2 linked regions of the Chlamydomonas reinhardtii genome follow. The protein of the gene in region 1 interacts with the protein of each later gene in a pairwise test. Links are inferred from orthologs where the notes say so. Each region holds a gene or a part of one and is shown on either strand. Other genes may lie near its edges.

Evidence for each region.
Region 2: the proteins of CHLRE_12g484350v5 (region 1) and CHLRE_10g457500v5 interact in binary tests that used the Arabidopsis thaliana proteins (3 or more experiments, as listed by UniProt). The link is inferred for Chlamydomonas reinhardtii from reciprocal best matches to the Arabidopsis thaliana genes SNF4 and AKINBETA1.

The regions. Positions count from the first base shown.
Region 1 is NC_057015.1:138,603-146,810, forward strand, and holds the start of CHLRE_12g484350v5 (uncharacterized protein), read right to left. Parts: upstream 4,815-8,208; 5' UTR 4,586-4,814; coding exon 4,535-4,585; intron 4,436-4,534; coding exon 4,332-4,435; intron 4,240-4,331; coding exon 4,102-4,239; intron 3,855-4,101; coding exon 3,344-3,854; intron 2,942-3,343; coding exon 2,807-2,941; intron 2,314-2,806; coding exon 2,074-2,313; intron 1,771-2,073; coding exon 1,699-1,770; intron 1-1,698. Other genes in the region: CHLRE_12g484375v5 (uncharacterized protein), read left to right, coding at 7,380-7,565; CHLRE_12g484400v5 (uncharacterized protein), read left to right, coding at 7,555-7,756, 7,881-7,965.
Region 2 is NC_057013.1:5,296,087-5,303,238, reverse strand, and holds CHLRE_10g457500v5 (uncharacterized protein), read right to left. Parts: upstream 3,976-7,152; 5' UTR 3,724-3,975; coding exon 3,721-3,723; intron 3,341-3,720; coding exon 3,106-3,340; intron 2,850-3,105; coding exon 2,725-2,849; intron 2,507-2,724; coding exon 2,346-2,506; intron 2,207-2,345; coding exon 2,038-2,206; intron 1,858-2,037; coding exon 1,735-1,857; 3' UTR 1,103-1,734; downstream 1-1,102. Other genes in the region: CHLRE_10g457450v5 (uncharacterized protein), read left to right, coding at 4,364-4,665, 4,832-4,927, 5,057-5,180, 5,354-5,446, 5,810-6,013, 6,143-6,505. UniProt on the Arabidopsis thaliana protein: Regulatory subunit of the probable trimeric SNF1-related protein kinase (SnRK) complex, which may play a role in a signal transduction cascade regulating gene expression and carbohydrate metabolism in higher plants.

The sequences.
Region 1 (8,208 bases):
GCGTGTTTGCTCTTGCTCGTCGCGCGCCGCCGCGCTAACATGTTCCTTCGCTCTTGTTCGTGACACTCCCCTGCTGCCGCCCTGTGCTCTGTTGTTTTCTTATTCGCTCGTAGGTGAGAATTTCATCGAGGATTGGGCGGGAGCTTGGACTTAGCGGCCAGGAGTAGCGACGCGGAGCTAGGAATCGTAGGAGTGCCTGGGCCTCACGGTACCGTGAGCACATGCATGGGTTTGCACCCTTGAGAGCGTGTGGACACTAATCCCCCCTCGAGGTTAGAGTAGCGGGGGTTGCGCGATTTCCGGTTGGTAAGACCGGCGGCTCACCGCAGCAGGTATGCGAGGTAACTTCAGGTAACATCCGTAAACCGTCGCTTTGCTGCATCGCATACACAGTCTTTGCGCAACGTTTTCCTTGTGCTCTTTGACACACACAAACACACACGCGCGCGCGCGCACGCGCGCACACACACGTGAGCCTTCGCTCTTGTTCGTGACACTCCCCTGCTGCCGCCCTGTGCTCTGTTGTTTTTTATTCGCTCGCAGGTGAGCATTTTATCGAGGATAAGGCGGGAGCTTGGGCTTAGCGGCCAGGAGTAGCGACGCGGAGCTAGGAATCGTAGGAGTGCCTGAGCCTCACGGTACCGTGAGCACATGCATGGGGTGCACCCTTGAGAGCGTGTGGACACTAATCCCTCCTCGAGGTTATGGTAGCGGAGGGTTGCGCAATTTCCGGTTTTGGTAAGCCCGGTGGCGGCTCAGCAACGGGTATACGCGGATACTTCAAGTAACATCTGTATGCCGTCGCGTTGCTGCATCGCATACACTGTCTTGCGCTTTTGTTTTTTCTGTTGCTTTTCAACACACACACACACACGCATACACGGGGGGCTTTGGTTTCCTTTTTTAACACACACACACACACACACACACACACACACACACACACACACACACACACACACACACACACAGGAGCGGGAGGCCAGCTCCCGCCAGCCCATGGCGTCACACGCACACACACCAGCCTGTGTCTGACACTTGCGCACACATGCGGGATACGGGTTATGCGCGGGTTCGGGGGTGACGGGCACACGCCCTTTTCTGCCAGCCGAGTCAGCCCGACCCAGCGTCTCTGCAACCGCCGCCCGCCATGCGCCCCATGCAGTCGGGCGCTATTTGCAGCCGCGCGGCCCCAGACTCGTTCCCTTTCACGGGCATAGTCAGTGGGTGGGCTTTGGGATGCGTGTTAGGACATTAGATAGCTTGCTTGCTGCACGCCGCCCTCTTCCGCCGCTGCCATTTCACATGTCCGTGACACTTCTGTGCTGCCGCCCAATGCCTTTCCATTCCCATGCTTATAGGTGAGCTCGACTACGACCAGCGGGCGGGAATACGGGAATTACGCGTGCTGGGTAAACGTTGTTTAGCGCGCCCAGGGTGCGGAGCATGGGCGCATACAGGTGCATCGCGGGGTCAGGCCGAATGGTCGCCCGTGGGGTTACAGGCTTATCGCGGGTAAGTATGACTACCTGGGTGACGGCAACCACGCGACGCTCGGTAAATTGGTAGGTATCCGTAAGTAACTCCGGCGTCGTCTGGGCGGGCTTTCGTTTCGTTTTTTAACACACACACACACCACACACACACACACACACACACACACACATACACACACGCGGCTATGGCCCTGGTGCGCACCTCCGGTCCTCCCGGGTCGCCGCTGAGCACTGGCGCCATGGAGCACTTGTGTTGCGCCAGGCGAGCCACCACCTGCGGCAGTAGCAGCCATACAGGCAGCAGCAGCAGCAGGTAAGGGCGGCGAGCTGACGCATAACAAGCGGCGAGGCGCGCGGCGCCAAGCGGGGGCTGGGGCACAGGGACGTCGCTGGTCGCCCGCTACACGCGTCCCACCCCCCTGTGCCAGCTCCCTGCTCCCAGCCGGCGCCCGAGGCCAACCCAGCACCCCCAGCGCCGGCCCTTCAGCACATGCACCCGTTGCGCCCCTGCCTCCCTCCGCCCTCTCCAACCTTCCATCATGAGCGCCCGGCCACCTCTACCCCCCTCCCCGCCCACCTTGGCTAGGTCCTCATCTGCCAGCACGTACACCAGGCCCTTGGGCTCGCGGCCCTCCGCCGCCGCCTCCTCGCGCAGCCCCCGGATGGTGTGCGCGTCCATCTCCGCCTCGCTGAGCGGGTTGGCTCCCGCGCTGACGCTGTGTCGCAGTCGGCGCAGTATGGTGATGAAATCGGAGGCGCTGATGACGCCGGGGATGGAGCGAGTGGTAGTGTCCCATAGTGGGGCCGAGGCAGTGCCCTGTGCACAACACAACACCACCACCACCACGACAAAATGCAACGGGCAGGCGCTGCTGTGGATGCAGTTGCATGTGCTGGGGGCGTGGCGGGTGTTGATGCGGTCCCTGCCCCTTCCGTGTCTTCTGGCTCCCCGGCCCCCAGCCTGCGACCAGGGCGGTCCGGCCTGGCCTTGTCTTCTATGCCAGTACACACACGGCCCTGAGATGCCGCCACACCCGGCATACCCCGACGTCGTGGTACTGCCTACAGAGGCACCTACAAGGCCGCCCGTCACACACCCAGCACTCCGACCTACTCCTACTCCCCCTCCTCGCTCTTTTGCCTTGGCTTCGGTTTAGTTTGGGCTGGTATCTAAAACCCCCCACCGCTCCCCCCTGCCCACGCCTTTGATGCACTGGAGATTCCTGGAATGCCTCGTACTTTCGGTTCCCACGGCATTGATGCCAACCGCTGCGCCCCTGCGCCCCTAAACGCCTTCAGGCCGCTCGCACCTGCTCGTGCAGCGCGTGGAAAGCCTGGCGTACGGGCAGGTCCACGTCCAGCACCACCACCTTGCCGCTCTCCGGGATGAGCTCATAAGCGGTGTGGCTGTGCAGGAAGTCCGCAATCTTCTTGCGAGTGTATTCCTGCACAAAGGGCAGATGGCGCACCGGTAGACCCAGCCAGCCAGTCTGTACCTATCATATCTCCGTCTAGCCGGCGCGCCCCCCTTTGCCGCCTCTCGCCCGACCCCCATTCCCTACCCTCGCAACCCCTATCCGGCAGTGCGGGTTTGCAGGCACCGACAGCAGTCAGGGCGGTGAGCTCAGCGCCGGTGCCACCACCCGGAGCTCCCCACGCCGCCACACAACAGCACGCGGGCCGGCATGGGCCCCAGGAGCCCCCGCCCCGGCCCCACAAAGCGTCCCATCCACATCACCCTTCCGTAGCAGCAGGCTACACCCGCCCGCTCTGCCTGCCGGCCACTGCCAGCCGCCCCACTGCCCCACCTCCCCACCACCCCTCTGCTCGCGCGCCGCCTCCCTCACCGGCTCCTTGGGGTTGTGTATCACTATGGGCGGCACCACGGCCGCCTCCGTCCCGCCCATGTCTACGTCGCCCTGCTGTGGCGCAACCTGTGCAGCCACGGGGGGCTGCAGGGACAGGCCCGAGCCGACTGGGACGCCGCCGGGGTGCTGCTGGCTTTGGCCCGGCTGCTGCGACTGCTGCGCCGCCGGGTGCTGCAGCTGCTGCGGCGTGAGGCACGGTCCCAGGCCCACCGCCGTGCTGTGCGGCTGCGGCTGCTGCGGCACGTGCGGGTGCTGGCCGAGTCCGCCCACGCCGATGCCTGTGGCGAGTGTCTGCGCCGGCACGCCCACCTGCAGGCCACCGGACACGCCCGGTGCGGGCGCGAGGGAGGCGCTGGCAAGCGCGGGGTGCAGCTGTTGCAGCTGCTGTGCCGCCGCCTGCTGCTGTGCCGCGGCCGCCTGCTGCTGTGCGACCTGGAGCGCGGCCGCTTGTTGCGCGGCTACGAGCTGCTGCGGGTCGAAGGCTACGTTGCTGCGTGGGGTGAAAGGGGGGGAGGCGAGGCGCCACAGGCAAGGGTTGAATTGGGCGTGTTGCAAAGCGGTTCCTGTGTGTTTGCAAGGCAACATACACCCCCGTCATCCCCCAGCGTGACATGTAATGCTTCTCGCGTCCTTCAAAGGGCATCTGCTTCCCTTGTGCCGAGCTCGGTGCCCAGCGGCAAGAGAATTGCGGGCATGTGGCGCGCAATTCCCGCTCGAGTCCCTCAACCCGGCCTCACTTTGCTAGGGGTGTTGGAGAAGGATCTATTCTCCGGACAAAGAGCCAGTTGTTGACGTTGCCAAGCGGGTCTGGCATAAACGGGGCGGTCTCGTCGTGCCGCCACCTGCCGTCTACAATGAACTTATACTGATGATACCTGCAAGTCATGGCAGCCAATCGTCTCATTCCTGGCCATGCAAGACACCCGGCTTGGCCAGCCTACGAGGGACAGCGTTCCGACATGCTCACCCGGGAGGCAGGTGCACGACTACTGCAAACAACCCAGGAGAGCCGTCCACGGGTGCCATCGGTACAGTCTCGACCCAGCGGGTGAAGGAACCACATAGGTGGACCTGCATGCGGGACAAAACGACCGGGTCTCCGTCCGTGCCGGCGTCACAGCTTGCGTCCCGCCCGCGCAGAGCCCGCGACCGCCGAGGCCTTGTGCTCACCTGACGTCCTCCGAATCGCCATACAAATCGGGTCGGCACAAAATAACTCATTTACGTTTTAGAGCCTCTGAGCCTTCTCTGCAGCCTGTCTCCGCTCCGCACGACTCATACTGGCTGCTCCCTTAACAACCAAGGAATGAGAACATTCTTGAAGTACAGCTCAAGCTAAAATGCAGTCCTTGCCCAAAGGGCCTCTGTGCCCCTGCCTTGCCTCCCAAGAGCTGGACTTCGCGGCCAGCGGTCAGTTATAGAAATTATGTGTCACCATGAAGCAAGTTTGATGTTTAGTATGCGCATTGGTAAATAGGGAGGACTGCCCAGCATTGCTCTGACTCTGAGCATTGCTGACTAGGCCAACAATGCAGTTGTAGGCGAGCTGCTATGCCAAGCGCAGGTTTATTGAGACGGAGTTCCAACAGAACTGTAAGCTACAGTGTACATTTGGCTAGCGCACCATGGGCAGGGGTGTGGTATGGGTGGGAGTGGCCAACGGACTGCGCTTGGCGCCCGAAACAGTTCCGGTGACGCTTCGCCGACTTGAGCGGCCAAGCTTCCCTATCAACAAGCAACATCCTGCCGCAGCATATGTGGGGCACTCGCCAGACTGTGGTTCGCGGACACGGTTCGCAGCAGGCCGGAAATGTCCACCAGGACTAATGGCTCTCGTACTGTCGGACACCACCCGCGTCAGCCGGCGGTGCATACGTGCCAGCCGACTCAGACGCCCAGTTGCTCCCATACACCCACCCCGCGCCGGTGATTACAGCTTTACCGTTTACCGGGTCGCGCGCTACGGTATGTCACAACGGAGTGTCCGCTGGCTGGCCGGCGCAAGCCGGCAGGCTGGCAGGCTGGGAGAACCTGGCTGCGCAGCTGACCCCGATTACGCGGAGGCGCTGTCTTGCCCCGTGCCCACTTGAGGAGCACGAGCATGAGCTTTTACATGGGTTAGAGTCCATGTGGCCCCGCCTGCCGCTACAGTGCCCAAGCCCGCCCGATTACCTGCGGTGATGTACAAGGACTCGCTCATGCACCTGCAGTTCTCCTTGCCGCGCGACGGTTTCCTTACGGGATCGGTTAACCCCCACTAACTCCTTTTGAGTCCGGAGGCGCAACACGGTAGTTGCAGGTGCTTATCAATCCCTGGTAATGGCCAGTCCTAAGCGATCCTACGTTTCCGGGCACGTGATGCGCGCTCCTCCTTTCCATGGGGCCATGTGAGGCGCATACAGCCATTTTGGCCATAAGGGACACGGGCTTTACATGTCCACGGCCTTTCATCTTCTCCTGGTCTCAGAGTTAGAGGGTGCGATGGGACATGGTAAGGGGCAGGGTGGAGTAGTCCCGCACTGTGCAACATATTCCCACCGTATTGGGAGTTAGATACTTAGCGGGGCCCTCGGGCCCCTCCACGTCCAGGCGCCGCGGAGTCGGACATACAGGTGTTTGACTACCTGCAAGTACCCGCAAGTACCGTAATTACAACAGTTACGCCGCAAGTTACGCAACCCGGGTACGCAGGCGATGCTGCACAGGGCCCTGGCAACCAGCCCCTTGCCAGGTCGGCAGCTATTGCAGCTAGTGCGTGCACTTGTATGCATTTGCTGTACTAGGTTGTAGGCTGTGGCGTGATTAGGCCGCTTTGTCGACGAGCGGCCTTTTTTTTGCGGCTGGAAGCTGCAGGTAATTAGACAGGTAGGGGGAAGCGGAGCGGGAGGGGCGGGAGGGAAGGAGGGAGCAGGTGGCAGTCGAGAGAGCCAGGCTGCCAGGGAAGATACAAGATGGGGGCGGGGCTAGTGGACGGAGGAGAAGATCTGAGAAGGTAAAGGGTAACAGGGGGCGGAAATCATGCCGTCCGGCCCAGGTCCGTGATGTGAGGAGCTACAGACAATCTGTTCAGCGCTAGCCCTCGTACTCCCGTTGGTGTAGGACAGGTACATTTTTGCATCGTATGGAACGCGTCGAGTGCAAGAGGGGCTCGGCGGATGGCGGATGCCCGGCTGAACAGTGACAGTCCGCGGGCGAGGGCGGCCTGTAACACTTGTGCATTAGCAGAAGCGCTCATAAGAGCGCTCAAAAGAGAGGATAGTCAGGTCAGGCACCAGGGCACAAATGCGCTCGGTGTTGCGGTTAGGTGGCAGCAAACTCATGTCCACAGGCGCTGTTAGTCAAGGTTGCGTCTGCCATGCTGTCACGGTCCTGACACGTTATCGACACGATGGCACCGATACCTTAGGAACTGAAAACCGCAGCACATCCGTATCACACCGTGTAAGACGTGGGCAAGGTTGTAGCTCCTGCAAGTGTGGTCTGTGAACTGTACGACACGGCGTGTCAACCGCAATTTTGCCCCATTATCCCCTACCCTCACGGACCCCCCCCCGCGGCGGCTACCTGCCCCAATACGGCAATACGCCAGGTATGGGTAATATGAAGCACTGGCGCGCTGGGGAGGGAATGACTGGAGGCATAGCCCCTACCCTCCGCAGGTTGCGGGCCTTGTTGGGGGCCTGCAGGCCTGCCCAGAAGGGCATATGCCGATGCCGCAGCGTCTTATCCTCCCAATATGAACTTAGAGCATCAAAAGCAACTCTTAAGTGGGCTCTGGCCTGGAAATTGCTGAGGAACACGTGGGCGACATTTCCACACATTTTGCCCTCGCTTTCGCGCTAGGAATGTCCGCTTGCTTTCCAGTCAGCACCTAGAGCCTACACATACTATACATAGCTGACGGTATCGGTCCTGGGTCAAGAATAGAATGGCCTTGCGACAGACATGCGGCAGTGCCGAGCAAGCGATTTTTGGGCCCAACGACCTAAAACTCTGTCTTAAGCTATGAAGTATCATGTCGTCTATCGATTGGCTACTTGGCTTCACGTGCGTACTGGTGTTGGTGTGGAGCGTGTCAGGAGCGTGCCCTCGTACCCCATTCGGGACACGCATGCCCGTCGACAACGCCCCCGAGCGGTTCCAGACGTACAAGCAAGTCCCAACAATGACTACTTCGTTCAGTACCAATCATGTACAATGACTTATTGTTTGGGGCAGCCTTCGTGGGGGCGCTGGTGGTCGCGTGGGCGGCAAGGATGCCATTACCAGTCTGTCCGGATGTATCGTCAACAATTGTCGACCCGCTTTTCACGACTAACGAGAAGCCACAGCTGTTTTACAACTGGCCAGATGTATACGCGCGAACTCTGGAGCTGCCCTTCTTCACACCCGGTAAGTGGATGCATGGCACGATCGCTGGCGTAGCTGGCGGCGCGCTCGGTCCCGAATGTTTCTCAGCGGCCTTGATGCTTGAAATCGGAAATACTGCTCCGCGATCCGGGGTCCTGCAACGCAGTGGCACTCCGCATCAACCTTTCCCCGAGTCATAAGCTAGCGCAGGGCGCAGCGACGATGAATTTTATGCTGCGAAGCAACACAAGGTGCGCCGAGTACCGTCGGGGGGAGGCGGGGAGAAAGGACAGGTAGGGGCTGGAGGGCTGGTAGTGCGCTTGCCCGTTGCGGACACGTCGTCGAGTGCAGTTTCAACGGGTTTCTCGCTGGGTTTCTTGCTCGCTGCTCCAGCCTCTTCGTGTTTTATATTTCAAGGGTTGTGCCTTCAGTTCTTTTTAGTACTCCCTCCAGCCCAAGCCCTGAGCGCAAGCCCTCGTAACTTTCCTCGCCCC
Region 2 (7,152 bases), on another chromosome or scaffold:
CGGAGCGCGTGCTTCCTGGTTCTGCTCTCTCTCTCGCCGACGCAACAGCTAGCAACATGCTTCTTTTTCATGCAATGGGGCCCGTTGCCGCTTCATTGAAGCTGCATCGGCCGGCTCCCACGGCTGCTTTCGTTGCAGATTGTTGACGGCTATCGGTGTTGCGCGGGCAGGTGCGGACAGGTGGATGATGATGAGGTAGGGCAAGGGGCGGTCCATAGGGGCGGTCCATACACGAGCCGTTACATTCAGCGATCTCCCGGCTCCAGTGGCCATCTGCAAGGGCATTAGCGCGGAAGGATGAATGAGGCGAAGTGGAGAGGCGACTGAGTTTCTATACTGTGGTGCACTAGTGCGGTACCGGTACTGTGGTCGATGCGATGCCTGGCACAGGAGTGGCCTAGAGCAGCCTAGGGTCGCCGCAGGTGTTGCGGGTGCGTGCTCCTTACCTTCAGGTACACTGCGTGACAGCGTATCATCGATGAGTGGGCTGTGTGGAGGTTCAAGAAGGCGGCATGCCGCTCCAGCCCCATTGCGACCTCAGGCAGGGCTGCATTTGTCCAAATGCCACGAGACCTTACAACAATAGAATGCCTGAGACCTTCCTCGGTGATGAACTGTCAGGTACAAAACGTTATCGCCTCATCGGAATGGGCGCGCGCGGAACTGTCCAGGTGCGGTTAGGAACAGGGGAGGGACAGGCGAACACGAAAACCCCAAACCACAAGTCTCCGTCCTCCCTGTTCACAACATACACCGACGTGCCCACCCAACGCCCCAATGCCGTGCTGATTTCGTCCGATGCGGGGATATCGCGCCACCCGCGCGCTTCCATCGGGGGCGGAGGCGACGCCTGCTGCGGCAAGCTGCCGCCGCCACCAGTAATGACGCCGCTGGCATCGTAGGCAGCAGATACTCTAGCAGCGGCCCCCTGGCCGCAGCGGCGCCTGCTGCTTGAGGTCGGCGGGTCAAGCTGTCACGTGCGCCACTAGCGCCTTGTTTTGCGGCTGCGGCTGCTTCCACTTATCCTCGTCCGCTCATTGCAAGTTTGCCACTGGCGTTCCCGTCATCAGATGACGCGCCTGACGGCGCGTGTTTACGGAAGGAGTAGAATGGTTTTGCAAATAGCAGAACCCGGCACATGTGTGCCGCCGCCGCTGCCGCACATTGCGGTCACTGGCGAGCCCAAGCCCAGCGTGTGCCCCACAAGTGTCCGGCTTATGCGGGCCAAGGGATGACATGTTACTGCCGCCGTCTGCCGCTGCCCGGTCAGCCAAGGGTCATCGCACCCAACGGGAAACAAAAGCCGTACCAAACCACGTAAGGACTCAACTCCATCTGTGCCTCCATCGTACCGTAAAACACCCCGATGGCCACGGATTTGCCAGGATGGTATGCCAATCAAACGGTCGTGAGAGTATGTGGAGACCGCCAAAGGCACCGAGTTTGCATCATTGCTGTACAAGAATGCACCTGTAGCATTATCCATCCTTGTCCCACCAATACCATCACCCACTCAGCGCGTATGCATGCAATCCTATGAGTGTGTTCCGCGCACGCACTCAATGTAACCCCCAGCACCAGACACCAGTCAAGACAAAGGCCATAGCACCTGCACGCAACAACCCGCTGTAGCGCCCAGACGACACAAATGTCCTGAGCGTGACCCAAAGCAGGGCTCAAGCCCGTTGTCCGCTTCTTCCCACTAGCTAGGGGCGTGCGGGGCGTACGGGTCCGCTACTGGTCGGTCTTGATGCTTCCGTCCAGTACGCGCCGCCGTGCCTTGGGTTTGTACATGACAGTGGTGATGTACTTGGACTTGTACCGGCTGGTTGTGCCCACCACCAGCGCCTGCACGCTCTGCAGGAGCAGCAGACACACCGCGTCCGATAACCATACATCAGCACAAGGGGATCCAATTCCAAGTTAGCGAGAGGCGCCGGCGTGATATCCATGCAATCGTGGTATCCACGCCCCAACCCGAACGCCGTTATGTCGGGGTTTCCGTTTTGTGTGGAGCGACGCATCCCTTTGCCTCACCTGCCCCCGTTGGCAGTACACGTGATTGAGGATGACGTGCTGCGGGCGCGGCAGCACCGCCTGGGCATCCAGAGCCGGCGGCACGTTGAGCAGCGTGAGTTGCAGATGTGGCGGCATCACGGGCGGCTCCTTGGCATAGTCGTCTGCCACCGGCGTCGGGCAGTTGTAACTGCAGGGCAGCGGGGAGGGCGGGAAGGAGTGCATGGGAAGGTGGGTACTGGCAGGACAGGGCCGGAAAAACCAGCGCAGACGAAGCCTACTACTCCATGCCAAGTACAGTCCACGCCACGCCATTCCACCTCACACACCTGGACGGCGGCGAGGGCGGCGGGTCAAAGCCGCTGACTCCCTCCAGGTTCTCAGGAACGTACTCGTGCACCTCGATAACGTTGTTCACGTTGCGCATCTCGTCAAACATGGCAGGCTGGTTGGGGTCGTACTTCCACTCGCCGTCCACAATGAACTTGTACTGCGGGGCGGCAAAGTTGGGAAGCAGGAAGAAATTACAGCTCGGACACTACATGCGGTGCAGCACACAGTGCGCGCCTTCTGTGCGCGCGGTAGCCCACCGACCGCGTTACTCGCTGCCCTGCACGTGTTCATGCCTCCTAGATAGAGGACATGCCGGGTGCCAGTTCCAGGTGGCCGCGCCCAGTCGTGCCGCCAAGCCACATTGCCACGCCACACCTGGTACACGCCCGGTGGGAGCAGCTTGATGATGGTGAAGTCCTTTCCGGACTTTTGTAGCGGTTGTCGCGTCGTCCAGTTGTCAAACGAGCCCTCCACCTCCACGTGGCTCCCACCGTGGCTCCCTGCGCGTGTCACAATTGTACACAGGAGACGGTGTCGGCCCCTGCCCCTTGCTCTCCATACGCAGAGACACGTGTCAAGCAAAAACATGTGCACGTCCCCACTCTCTACATGCAAAGACTCGACAAGCCTGCTGCAATATCAACTCAACACAGAGTTTAATTGATTACACTAGGCGCATACGGTAATTAAGCAGGCGTCTGAGGCAGTACACCATCGTTTGCACGGCCCCGCGTGAACACGACCCATGCTACTTACACACGATGACCACTGGCATCAGCTTTGGCTGCGCTGGCCACCCTGCCACCCCGTGAAATTCAGGTGCGTTGCGGTTGGCGGCTGTCAGCTCATCAGCGCGCGCGATCGGCTCCATGGGTATTTGCGGGCTGTAGGTCAACGGCGAGCCGGGGCTAAGCGGCGGCGACGCGTGCCGCGCATAGTGTTCGTGCTCCGTGCCCCCCGGAGTCTCGTGCTTGTGGGATGTGGTGTTTCCCTGATATGGCACATTTGGAATAGGGAAGATGGGTGAGACGGCAACGGGATCGGGCTCTATGCATTGAGACGCAATGAAGGCGCCTACAACTTGCGAGCTGCCCAAGTCTAGCATCCGCAGCCGGCTTCAGAGGGCGTGTCCGAAAGTGCCCCGCTACTGCGCCCTCCGCACGGCCTGCAACAACCATATGGCCTCACGTAGCACACAGTACGCATGCATTCAAGTTGCTGATAGTCCTGCCAGTCAGGAGCAGCTGCGGGGCGGCACCGACCCGACCTGCGACCCGACCAGAACGGCTTGCGTGCCAGCTGACTGTGCCGGGGCTCTCCAAATCAAGCGCCAGCGCTGCGACGGGCTGCTGAATATACATGCAGGCTCACCATGTCTTATGTCTGCAGCCCCGAAGGGCGTCGGCTGCGTTCCCAACGTCGGAATAGCCGGTCGAGCCGGCCCAAGCCAGCCAGGCTTCGAATGCTCTCCACAATTCGCTACACTAATAAGTCAGCACAGTAGGATAATACAGCAATGACGATAATTCCAGGCGGTGCGCTTAAAGCAGCTTGAGTTGTGCCGACGTGGACACGGGCGCTCTTCGGGGCCCCCGCAGGATAAAAGGTGTTAAGAGGTATGATGGGATATTGCAGTGTTTCGGTGTTGGGTCTTGGTTCAGGCTCGGCCTTCCATCGACAAGTCTCGGCTCAATGGGGCAAGTTTCTCCTGCTTTTGGTAGAGTTACACTCGTCTACAATTCCTTAAGGCCAATAAAAATTGCCAGAAGACTCCCTTGGTCCAATCGTTGGATTGTTCCACAACAACTTTGCAACCCTTGCAAACCCGACTCCACCCAGTGACACGCTGGGTCTGCAATTTTCCTACTTTATTGCAGTGAAGCGCAAGGAAGCGCACAGCAACTCACTGCAGCAGCGACTCGGTGACACGCGGGCAAATGATGTAGGACCTCAGTTTCGCCATAAATTGTATTTTCGACGAAGTAGAACCTAGCTTTTAATGCCACCGGAGAGTATGACCGTAGCTGGGCCTGCTGCTGACGTTACTGGCGCCAGGGACCATGGCCTGGATGGTCCCCAGTGCGCGCCAAGCTCGACGAGCGGCTCAGTGGCACCGGCGCCGTTCGTCTTGACTGTACCCGCGGACTCCTCTTCATCGTGTGCCTCGGCAGCGGCCTCTGCAAGCTCTGGAAGCGAGCTTTCGGGGTGCTCGCCCACAGCACCAAGGCTCGGCACGGGCGCTGCCTGCGGGGAGGCCGGGCCGCACCAGGCCCTTGTACACCACCACGTCCCACACTGCAAGCAGTTCTTCAGCTGGTGAGAGTGGTCTGGCCGGCGTCACAGGGGTAGGAGTGGCCTCCAAAGCAACAAATACTGGCAGGACATATGCTGCGCGGCGCGCGCTTATGTACCTCCTAAGGATTTGACCGGGGAGAGGTCGCGGCCCTATGCTTCACGACTCCAACCTTACCTGCACTTGCAGGGACTGTGGTCTAGCGTGCGTTCAGATGGTCATACAAGCAGCCGGCTTCTCGCACTGTGACTATCGATTACTGCGGCAGCTGTGCACCACCACCAGGTGCGAAGGCCACGAGCTGCCAGCATGGGCGACTGGGCTGCGGCCCCGGGACCGGTGTGTTTTGGCAGATTATGCCACACGTGTATCAATTGCCGTAGGCTTACAATGATTGTTGCAACTGCCATGCAGCATCTGGACGGTAGATCTTGCGCACTTGCTACGGCGGTTTGGGTTGCACGTGTCCTTCTACACGGTCACGCTCGGGCCAAACCCCGCGTACGCCAACGAGTCATTCTACATGGAGAACATGGAGGTAAGCAGTATGCGTACCCGGACAATGTCTTTTTTGCACGTGACTGGAGTGCGGCAGATTTAGTCTGCCTGCCCAGTTTGCTGGGCGCGCGTGCTACGGTTTCAAGCCGTCTTCTCCGCCGCCTCCGCTGAATTTCTCTGACGTTGGCCTATCTCCCCTGCTGTGCACAACAGGACGACGAGCGGCGCGTGAGCCAGTTGTTCGTGGAGGCGGCGCACGTGGGCATCGCCGTGGAGCAGCGCTCGGTCAGCAGCGAGGAGCTGCAGGTGTGCCCTAATGGAGCCGGAGTTGGGCTGGGCTGGGCAGGTTAAGATTGGGCTGAGCTAGGCTTGGGCTGAGCAAGGATTGGGATGGTATGGGCGGTGCTAGATTGGGTTGGGCGGGGCGGGGGCGGGGGCGCGGGCGGGGATGGGGGCGGGCGTGCAGGCGGAGGTTGGGGCGGGGGCGGGGCTGGCGCCGGGGCTGGGGTTGGCGCGGGGGCTGGGCAAGAGTCTGCAGGGCAACCGGACCCCCGCTGCGGCGGCGGCGGCCCTCCAGCTAATTATGTACGTATCCGTTGGCAAAGCATAGTTTGGTAGTTGCCGCAACATGACGCCCAATTCTGACGGGTGTACCTTTGCCGTGCGCAGTCGTGGATGCTGTCGGGCGGCTGCCTTATCATCGTGCTGGTGGACAAGCGCAAGCTGGACCCGTGGCTGGGGGCAGGCGAGCCAGGGAGCGGCGGCATGGGCGGCATGTCCATGTCCATGTGCCTGCCGGCGGTGCTGTGCGGCATGGAGCTGGGCTACGCGGGCCACTACGTGCTGCTTGTGGGCTTCGACGCGGGCACACAGGTACGGTGCCGGGTCTGGCACCGCGGCGTGCATGCGTGGGGTGCACATTTCTATGCACGCCGGGCGTGTTCCAAATCGTGGAGCACATCCACTTTGCTCTGAGACTCCCAACATGACGTTTGCATGCAGGAGTACACCATACGCGACCCGGCAGCGCAAGTGCAGACCCTGCGGGTGACTGCGGCGGCGCTGGACGCGGCGCGGCGGTCGTTTGGGACAGACGAGGACATCCTGGTCGTGAGCACCACACCCAGCGACAGCTGCGGAAGCAGTAGCAAAAGTAGCAGCAGCAGCGCCTACAGCGGCGTGCCTCAAGCCGCTAGCGCCTGCCCGGTCCCCAGTGGGCTGCAGCAGCTGCTGCTGCCGCACACGCACAGCAGCTGCCACCCCCAGCAACAGGAGCTGCTGATGCCGCTCGGAGTCCACCACTGCAACAGCCGCACCACAGCCACCACCATCACCACCACACCCACGCGATGCCGCGACCAGTAGGAACGCAGCAGAGCGCCGCAGGGCTGCACGCAGGGTAGAAAGCTGCGATAAGGTATTGGTGTTCGTGCAGATCGCTAGCAGGTTTCTCGCAGTTTTGATTGACCACATGGTCTGGCGTGATGTTACGTTTGTCGCCTGCTGTCACAGCTAGTGCTGCTCGTGACTGCATGTATTGACATAGCTTGCCTCAGCAGGTGCAGCAAGCAAGGGTGTGGTACCGATTGCACGATAAAGGTTGCAGAGTCTTAGGCGCGCCGCGCGGTGATGATGCTTCGTTTGCACCAGCGTTTGGGGCATCTGCGTGCTTCTTAAACGGGTTTATACGGAAATGCTACGACGCTACGTAGTGTCCTGAGTGCTTACCGCCCGGACCATCCGCTGGCGAATATTCAATGATTGCTGTCTTTCAGCGGCAGGGTGCGTTGTATGGCGTGTCCGTGGCGTCCTGGTGTGACAGGGCATTTTTGAGTTTTGAGAGCCTCCAAGGTGACAAGCAGAGAACGCCAATTGTACTGGTACGAGTGTTGACGTCAAATGTGGTACTTTTGATGTGCTGGTGAGGGGTAGATGCACGGCGAGTGGGCAAGGCCGCGAGGGCAGAAGAGTGCAACGTAGGCTATTGGCCTGGGCCAGGTACGCTTCCGGCA